Arabidopsis thaliana: one gene and its partner. The protein of the gene in region 2 interacts with the protein of the main gene of each other region in a pairwise test. Each region holds a gene or a part of one and is shown on either strand. Other genes may lie near its edges. The genes, in order: AT1G55950 and AT1G20910.

What was found.
Region 1: the proteins of AT1G20910 (region 2) and AT1G55950 interact in binary tests that used the Arabidopsis thaliana proteins (3 or more experiments, as listed by UniProt).

The regions. Positions count from the first base shown.
Region 1 is NC_003070.9:20,925,933-20,929,195, forward strand, and holds AT1G55950 (DNA-binding storekeeper protein-related transcriptional regulator), read right to left. Parts: upstream 1,614-3,263; 5' UTR 1,567-1,613; coding exon 907-1,566; 3' UTR 785-906; downstream 1-784. Other genes in the region: AT1G55960 (Polyketide cyclase/dehydrase and lipid transport superfamily protein), read right to left, coding at 2,030-2,314, 2,428-2,624, 2,796-2,877, 2,971-3,237.
Region 2 is NC_003070.9:7,276,131-7,283,095, reverse strand, and holds AT1G20910 (ARID/BRIGHT DNA-binding domain-containing protein), read left to right. Parts: upstream 1-1,859; 5' UTR 1,860-2,117; intron 2,118-2,445; 5' UTR 2,446-2,460; coding exon 2,461-2,748; intron 2,749-2,881; coding exon 2,882-3,015; intron 3,016-3,100; coding exon 3,101-3,140; intron 3,141-3,509; coding exon 3,510-3,562; intron 3,563-3,658; coding exon 3,659-3,704; intron 3,705-3,962; coding exon 3,963-4,055; intron 4,056-4,497; coding exon 4,498-4,620; intron 4,621-4,775; coding exon 4,776-4,824; intron 4,825-4,901; coding exon 4,902-4,965; intron 4,966-5,135; coding exon 5,136-5,202; intron 5,203-5,313; coding exon 5,314-5,364; intron 5,365-5,606; coding exon 5,607-5,699; coding exon of another isoform or gene 5,700-5,777; exon of another isoform or gene 5,778-5,791; coding exon 5,792-5,887; 3' UTR 5,888-6,153; downstream 6,154-6,965.

The DNA of each region.
Region 1 (3,263 bases), about 14 Mb from region 2:
TTGCAAATCGAATTGAAAAAATAAATCAGAAATTAAAAGAAATTTTATTGCTGTTTTTAATATAATGATTTGTTTGAATTTAAGTTTAGTTTATTAATAATAGGTGAGAGTTTAAAAAAAAAAAGTTGAGAGTTTTTAATATGTTTGGAGGAAAGGTGGGGGTTTTTCTACCCATTTTCCGATAATAGGAGTTTGTCCCAGCTTTAGCTTTACTTACATATCTTTGTTTGTGGTGGCAGAGCCAAAAATTGAGTTAAAGCTGGTTTGAGTAGTCACCAGTTCCATCATCATCATGTTCATGCATGTCGGATGTACCTTGCAAATAAGGAGAAACAACAAATTAGTAGAACAAATTCAAGCAGCAACAAAGAATAATGTCCGGTTTGTGAAGTTACTAGTTGCAGCTTTGTCAATTGTACTTGCATCGGTTTCATGAGGTGCATCTTTGTTCTTATTCTTCTTCGCTGCCACTCTACGGTCTCTGTTTTTATGATTTTTCTTTTTCTTCTTCTTGGCTCTGCGGATTTTGAGGCCAATGCTCTTAGACATTGATGAGTGTTGAAATCAGCTTGAAAGAACCATGTAATCTTTAAACTTGGCAACAAAATGACTCATTGAGCCTAACCAAAATGAGAGTATTTTTACCAAATTTATACCATAAACCTTGACCACAATTTAAACACAATTGTATGCATTAAAATCTAATCTGCCGTTCTTTCATAATGTTTTTAGCAACAAAATCCAAATATCAAAAACCAAAAAAAAAAGAACCAAATAGAAAAAACAGAGTCATAAGGGATGAAAATGAAAAAGGATGCATTACAATTCTAAATTCAGACTTGTTTAATTTGCTCCAGTGATCATCGAGTTGACCTCATCAAAAATCTTGTCTTTAGCCACAAGTATTCAGATTTCATATATTTCAACATTTGCTAGAGAGTTCTCATCTACACCTTTGTTCCTTTTCTGTACAAACTTGTCTTTCAAACGACGGATTTTGGTAGTGAATTGACGACTATTCGCTTGAAAGCTAATGATGTTCTTCACCGTATCAATAAAACCAGTCATATCATCATAAGAAATCGTCCCTTTATCATTCTGGAAATCAACCATGCCTTGCAACAAGACGATCTTATCATCATCACTCAATATTCTTTGAAAATACTTCTTTTTGGTATCTGTTGACACCATCTTATCATCATTCATCTTGGCTACAACAACGGAACCGCAAATCTTCTTCTCCAGCTCGGTTTCAGAATATGAATCGGAGTCATGCCTTTCAGCAGCAACGATGATAAAAGCAGAAGCCGGAAGATTCTTACCAAGATATTTTTCTCCTTCTTCCTCAGTCTCCATTTTCTCGTCGTCGCCATAAGATTCCGTCGGTGGATTTTCCAATGGTTGTAGATATCTTTTCTTCCTCGGCGGATCTTCCAACAATCTCTTCACCGTCGATGGATCTTTCTCCGGTTTGAGACACTTGTTCTTCTGTTGGGAACGCTTGTTTTTCTTGGCCATCAAACTTTTGAGAGAGTGGGAGGCCAAAAGTTTTGTTATTCTTTTCATTTTTTTTCCTTTTGTTGTCAAGATAAAAAAACGTTTCAGTTTTGTAATGAGATAATATCATAGTAAAGGTCTTCTATTTATTGTGGTGTTGGACTCTTCACTCGCCGCTTAGCATCTAGGGTTGAGCTATAGTTGCTACAACTTCCAAAAAGAAGGGCTAAAAGTAGACCTCATAAGCTTTCTCTTTAGTCTCAACTTTAATGTCACTAATGTTCATCTGTCCCAATATCAACTACAATCGAACAATTTGTAGTGACTCAAGAATCAAGTAAAGATTGATTGGGATAAAGACCTTACATAGTACATACAATTACAAGAATGATAACCTTTAGGCTTGTATGTTTATAATGTATGCTTTTACATTCATATCAACACCGACTTGCATTTTGTATACGCTAGTGGTAGTACTACTGTGGTACAACAATTTGATACCAAAAGCTACCAGAGTTCAGGAGAAATTTACTTAAATGGTGGTGGTCTGGGTGGTCTGATTCAGAGAAGTTCCACGTTTGTTCAGCTTCGTCAAGAGGTAAGCCAATGCGACTTTAGCACCTAAGGCTGAGGGACCACGGGACAAGCAGATCGCACCGCCCACAAGTACTAGACCTTTTGCTATCAGTTTCGTTGATGGCTTTCTCATTTTTTTCTTCTGTTTGGCGGCTACAACATGACTCAACACTCCTTCACCACTACTTGTTTCCATGGAGCCTGTGACATTATCTGTCCCAGTTTCTAACTCTGATGGAACCTGAAGATACAACAATCAATGTCAGTGAAGACCCAACCCAACCGGTTGCTTTAAGCATATTTTCAGGACACTAAATACCATTTTACAGAACAGAATTTTCATATGAATCTCACCTCTTTCATTAAGGTGACAGCAGATAGAATGGGTCCTTGGGTTCTATGACTGGTTGCTATGTATTTACAAAGAGCGTTTTCCATCTTACAAACGTAACTCCATATGCCTTTTGAGAAGGCGAGCTTGGCCATCTCAACATTTAACCCAGCATTCTCCTGGTGAAACATTTTGATCTCACACGCATTTCTACCGGGAACTGCAGCAAGTGTGTCAAAGGTATCAGTCAGATAAGTATCAAAGGTAGAAAGAATGCTGACAACAGAAACTGAAAAAAGAAACTAAGGACCGTGTTCACCATGATCAATCAATATCTGGTTATATGGTATTCAAACAACACTGACTAGAACTTTTAGGTGAATCCACTTGCCTTGCCTGATTCGCCAACCAGATCTAAAGTAACTTACACGTACATACTTCCTCTGTTGTGGTACCATATTGTGATCACATTCCTAATAGTAACCAAAGAGCAAAATGATAAGTAAAGAAGCAACAACAAATTGCGACAGATAGAGGGAGAGAGAGGTTTTTTGGTTGAATTTGACCTTTGTGAAACAGTAGAACTTCTTCTCCTTTCCTTGCCACAATCTCCAAGCTAGAACGTACTCTCTCGATGTCAACAAGGGAAACTTTTTAATGGTGCGACCAATCTCAATTCCAGTATTACTATCAACCTGCAACTGCTCATGCTCAACCACAGTCTTATCCCATAGTTTCCTATAATCATTGTCCATGTAAAAGTCCCTCACAATCTCTGCAGAGAAACCCTCGAAGACCGTGACACTTAGGTACTTCATAGGACCACCGCCATCCTAATAATAGAGCCAAAAGGATACTC
Region 2 (6,965 bases):
TGTCATTTTATTATAAATTTTAAATATTTATAAAATTAGAAACTTCAAAAAAGATTAATATTGACCCAAACTTCATCATTGAATTTTGAGTGTTATATCTAAGATTTCTCTCGCAGTATATCGTCCCGTATTAATATCTTTTATATTGTTTAAATTTCTTGTAATATTTAATTTATAATTTTTTAAACTTTTTAAAGTTTCAATTTTTTAAAATAAATAACCCTAGTAAAACAAACCATTTTAATTTTGGACACCTCATAAATCAAGTTTCATGCTCATTCGTAATCGAAATCATTTTGGTCCTTTTTATAGTATGGCTCTTGACCATTGTCCAATTTTTTTAAGCGATATAGAACATTCTAAAATCGTAATTATTATCCACCCAAACCCGTCCTACCATATAATCCAGTCCCGTGAAATTAAACATAATTTTGTCATTTTCTTATAAATTTCAATATTATAAAATTTGAAACTTAAAAAAATACAATATCGACCCAATTTTTAAGATTTTTCCTGTAATATATCATCTCGTATTAATATATTTTTTCTATATTTGTAATGTTTAAATTTCTTGTAAAATTCAATTTATAATTTTTAAAACTTTATAAGTTTTAAAATTATAAATATTTAAAGCATTTTTTAAAGATAAACTTTATAAAAAGTTTTTAAAATTATAATATTTAACATTTGATAAAGTTATAATATTTATAATTTTTTGAAACATTTTAAAGTTTTAATTCTTTAAAATAAAAAATCCGAGTAAAATCGGATAACTATTTTAATTTTGGACGCCTGATAAATCAAGCTTCATGCTCATTCATAATCAGAATCATTTTGGTCCTTTTATAATATGGGTCTGAACCATTGTCCAATTTTTCTAAGCGATGTTGGACATTGTACACATATTATTTCTTCATAGGTTGAATAATATATGTCCGTTTTAAAAAATTTGAATTACATCATATTCAGAAAAAAATATAATATTTTATTAACTATATATATTTTATATAAATTCAAAATAAATAAAGTATAAGATCAAATAAAATTGAAAGAAGAATTATATATTTATGTTTAAATTAGGTAGAAATATTTTAGGAAATTAGTTAAGGTAAATAAGAAATATGGTTAGTTTAGAGATATTGTTTATATTAAATTTGGTAATTAAATCATTAATTTTCGTTTTTAATTATTAGTTTTTAGGTAACTTTTCCAAAAACTAATGTTATCCAAGATCAGAACTGAATTAAACATGTTATCCAGGATCTGAACAGAGTTAAGCCGAGTAAAACCCACCCATTTGAATTAATTGTTGAATTATGGCTCAAATCTTCAACATTATCTTCAAAAATCCCCTCCAAACATGTATATATAGATATTTCCATTATGATATAGTTTTCACATCTTAACTCCAAATCATGAAACCTAAATTTTATTTCCAAGTCTCAACATCATATATTTTAATTATCATCTTGAACTTCTTGTTAAAAATATAAAATTAATTCATAAACTTTTCTATAAACCTAAGTTTTTTAATATTTTTTGTATCGTATTTATACTAATTTCGATCTTCTTTGTTTCCTCCGTAATCGTTGTCGTAATTTCGTAAACCTAAATTTCATATAGCTCCTTTCTTCTATGTATATATGTTTTGTACAATGTTTCATATATATAATAACACCCTTTGGCAAAAAAAAAAAAAAAACTTTTTCAATGTTTATCTTTCGTGGTTATTACATATAGTAGAAATCCCAACATTCAACAACAATAAAAGGTTACAAATCCTATATTTACCAAAAATTAAGAAAGTCTAAAAAGACTAATAGATACAAAAAGAAGAAAAGAAATTGTTTACTTTTTGAGTGTAAAACAAATTAAAGTTAAAAACCACATAACATCCCCCATCCCATCTTTTTTACTAATACCTTCCTCCATTAACATAAGATTGTCTCTCCTCTTTCGAATTGTCTCTCCTTTTTCAGCTCTCTCTCTGTATCTCCTTCTTCTTCTTCTTCCTCCAGCTTCTTTCAATTTCTCCGGCTGCTAAACCCTAGCGCGCCGTCGGAGTCCCTGCGTTCTCATACCAACCTTTACTCGCCGTCGCCGTCGCTGCAGAACTGGTAAGCATATGTTTTTTTTTGCTGCTCTCTGTATTCTATGGAAGCTGAAAGGTCTTCTCGGCTTGTTTATCTGTGGTAGTTTTGATTAGGATGAGGTTTTGTAGTAATAGAGTGAGTGAGTTTGCTCCAATTCTTAATTGCGTTTAGAGATAGAAGAGAGAGAGAGAGAGAAGCTATAGTTTCCAGGCGGAGAAGAAAGACAATTCCTTTTTGTTTAATCTGGAATCACCAATAGTTAGTTATATACAGTTTTTTTATCTTCTTCGTTTTTTTCTTCTGGATTTGTTCTTTTGTCCTTGTCTTGCTGTGACTGACTACTCCACAACAGAAATCGAAGCTTAAGATGGTGGATACCGAAATGCAAGAGCAAGATGTGACTTTTGGTGCCCTTGTTGAGACAAAGTATTTAGAGGAAGAACCTTTGGAGCCAGAAAATGATCACAACCCTAGTGAAATCCCGCAGCCCCTTCTTCTTGGAGATGGTCAGGCTAATAATGGTCATGGCATGAATGGTGGTGCTGTTGGAGTTGTTGACCACTCTGAAAGGAAGACTCGTAGGGTGCAAATGTTGAGTCCTAAGACTGAAGGTGAGAATGCCAAAAAGAGGAAGACTTGGCTGCTGGATTCTGAGGTACTAGGCTATGTTTCTTTCAATTTGGCTCAAAAAGCCTGTGTCTTTTTGTTTTCTCAGGATTGGATTTCACTGTTTTGTGGTCGAAAATTATGTGGTGATTGTTCACTTACTGGTTCACCTTTCTCTACAGGCACAGGGAACTGATGAAGCAGGGACACCGGTAGAACAAGTGGCGTTTCTAAGAGAAGTGGAGGCCTTTTACAAAGAGAGTTTCCTGGAATTTAAACCTCCTAAGTTTTATGGACAGCCTTTAAACATTCTCAAGTGAGTTGTTGGAAAAGTGGTGCTTTTGTTCTTAATAAACCCATATATCTGGTTAATCAGTGCCTCACTTTTGCATCCAATGTAGGCTTTGGCGAGCAGTCGTGAACCTAGGTGGCTATGAAGTGGTAATTATCCAAAACCATATCGTTTTTAGTTCGTCAGTTTATAAGTCTTGGTTATTTAAGTTGGCCCGTATGATTATCACCTACATTTTATTGTTTGAATTGTGGATGGCATATGAACTGTATATAGGGTATAACTATTGAATCCGTAAGCTAATTTATGATAAGAGTATCTATAACGATGTGGCTTTCAGAGAAGATTTATGACTTTAAGCGAACATATCAAACATTAAAGAATGTTCGATATTTTCTTGGGAAACTGATTTATTTTACTGTTGTTAGCTATATTTGGAATTATATATTCAATGTTTTCTTAATCTTCTGCTGGACTTATGGTCTTTAAGATTCCTTTGTTTTTTCATGGTAATGTAGGTCACCACAAATAAGCTGTGGCGGCAAGTTGGAGAATCCTTCAATCCTCCCAAGTATGGCTGATATTTTCCTTAGACTCTCCGTTAGTCTTTACCAATTTTTCATAATGCTAATCTTTTTCCACATTTGGTTAAACTATCTTTATTCAGGACATGCACAACAGTCTCCTACACATTCCGCAATTTCTATGAGAAGGTGAGTTTGTTTTTGTGCATAAGTATCGTATATTTATCCTGTCTTCATTTTTACTTATCCACTTCAGACAATTCTCCTTGTGCTTCTTCTTAGTATGGTGTGTTATAATAGTTAGTTTAATTCTTTGTCTTGCTGAGGTAGCTCTTTATTTTGGACTATTCTTTTGTCACTTCGAAGTTTGAATGCACTGCTTGTTTTCTTTCTATCTTATCATATAGATACAGGTACATATGATCTATATCTTTGCTTCAATTGCAGGCACTTTTGGAGTACGAAAAGTGTTTAAGGAATAATGGTGAGCTTAACCTTCCTGGTTCAACATTGATTCTGTCTTCCAGTGTCGAGAAAGAGGTATGAATTTCCCCTAAAAAAATGGCTTTTGGATTTTAGACACTACTGAATAATATATAGAAATAATGGTAGATATGGAAAGTTTGGATGAAGATCGATCTAGCACCGTAAAATTAATGAAGAGTATCTACTTGTCAATTTATTGTGGGAAGGTTTCATGTACTGTGATTAAATGTCGTTGATACTGAAGAAATGATAGCATAAGAGTTATTTTTCAGCATTTATGTAATACCAGCTAAACCTTTTAAACCCAACTATCTGCAATCTGACTGAAGAAAGCTGTAGCCATTTTGTGTTCGATACAAAAGCCATAAGAAATCCGTGTGCATAACCCAGTAAATTACCATATAAGTTGCAGAAAACCTAAACGAAAATTCATGTGCCTCCCTTTTTTTCCCTTCTCCATATTTTTTTCTTCCCTGATACAAGGACTTTGCTGTAGCCAAGTAGCCATCAAGGTTCAGGGTCAGGCAGGGCACGAAGAGATTCTGCAGCTCGTGCTATGCAAGGTTGGCATGCGCAGCGCCTTGTTGGATCTGGAGAGGTTACTGCGCCTGCTGTTAAGGTTTCACTTCAAATCTTACTGCACTTTGTGATTCCATTATGCAGAATTTTTTCATGCACCAAGGAATCTGACTCACATGTAGAAAGAAGAAGACTTTTTATTTCTTTTGTCGTTTTTTATTTCGGAAGTAAAATGATGTTCTCCTTTTGTTTCAGGATAAGGGCTTAATTTCCACCCCAAAGCACAAGAAACTCAAAAGCATTGGTACAAAATAGTTCTCAAGGCTTTGCTATTTTGTCAACGAGGGTTGCTTAACGTTATGTTTTAAACGGTTTTTTCAGGGCTGCAAAAACACAAACAACAAACTAGCATGGACCATGTTGTTACAAATGAAGCTGACAAACAGTTACGGAAAGCTGATCTCTCCTTCTTATTTGCAATTCTAAGATAGTTATATTAGTTTTTTGGTTCTTCTTTCAATGCCTCTTAGCAGTAATGAGATGAAAACGTAGCATTTTCTGGACCTGAACATATTACTATAGATTAACGTTAAGGTTTCCTTTTTGTCATGATAGGTTGGCTGCTGAGGTTGTTGATGTTGGACCCGTTGCTGACTGGGTGAAGATAAATGTCAAAGAATCTGTGAGTAACTTCTGCCAACGGCTAAAGAAACGCCAAAAACTTGCAAACTGGATGTTTGTTTCCAATATGGAATTCTTACCAAATCTGTTTTCCTTTTTCTTGAATTCACAGAAGGATTCCTTCGAGATATTTGCCTTGGTACCTGGACTTCTTCGCAAAGAGGTGAGCACTCCTTTGTAACCCTGTCTCTGAAGGCTACTTGATAAGTCCTTGTCTTTTAATTTTGTTTGAATGCATATTACTGTGACAATACAAAGCAAGCACAAAGCGATTTGGTAGGTTACCAAAGCAGATCCGTTGGCTTTAGTTTCATAGTCTCAGTACACAGTGTTGTAGGCAATAAGTATTTTCTGGTAAAATCAGTACATAGTTCCAATTACTGAACATACGTTGTCTTTTCTCAGGTTCGAATTCAATCAGATCCTGCGGGAAAGGTGGTTATAACAGGCCAGCCAGAGCAGCTTGACAATCCTTGGGGGATTACACCCTTCAAAAAGGTAAAACTTTCTTCTATATTCCAGATATGTCCATTAACTGAACTGATACAGAGACTGAGAACCTTCCTGTCATTTTGATATGTTTTCACCAGATTGTTGACTTATCAGCAAGAATTGATCCGCTTCACACATCCGCGGTCATGAGCATGCATGGACGGTTGTTCATACGAGTTCCGTTTGAGCAGTAATGGATTTCAAGAGAGCTGGTCAGTTGTTCGTGGTTTCTTCTAGGAATTCATATGTTTCAGAACCAAATTGTTAGGCGGCTGAAGCAGTTTTGTAACTGTGATTTGAATCTGAAGACTGAAGTTAGGAACATGCAACAAACATTTGATCTTACTGTAATATTTCTCTTTTGTATAATTTGAGATTAGTAGGAGAAACTGCTCCAAAGACATTTAGGATGCAACCAACAATGATGATTTTGATCTAAAATCGGAATGTTATGCTTTTCTTATACATATTTTTTTAATAGAGATGAATAGATTTGCCTATCCCATCTACTAGTTCTACTTCCAATAGTATACTTTTAGGTTCTCATGCGTTTCGGTTTTCAAAAGTTCTCCTGAGATGATTTGTTTTCAAAAAGTGAAAGTGAAAGTATGCATATATTGGTGGTGCATATTATTAAAGGGAAAACGAAAACAGCAAAAAACTTATTGACATTTCCCTGAATCTAAAAAGTTCATGATCGGGAATATATGATTTAGAAAAGAAAAAAAGGTTCATTACTTGTTTATATATATATATATATATGTATCATCAATTCATGACGAAAATTTAAGGTTCAAAAGTTTTGAAGCTCACTCTAGTTTTTGAGTCATCAGAAAATACTGCAGTATTAAGACAAGAAACATTATTCTCAACTTGTTTTCTTTCTCTTTAATCATGCAAAAAGGTTCACACTTCACAGTGATCAAAAAAGGTTTTTTATTGCTGATTCTCAACTTGGTGTAGCTCAATTGCATGTAAGGCACATGACATGACCGCATGGGAATTTGATAATATTTACAACTACAATGCTCTTTCTCCAAGCCCCCAAAAAAAAGTCATATGATTCCAAGTATATGTATTGATTCTAATTTATATTTTATATATTTTGGCAAAGCTAAAACGTTTTTTACTAAGAGACATCTGATCACTATAATATTTAGCTAAGAACTGTAGATTGTGACTTGTGAAATTAATCTGCAATTTGTTCCATGATATCAGTTGTAAAAAAAAAACAAATCATCCTAAAATAGTTAGAACTAATTCAATCAATAA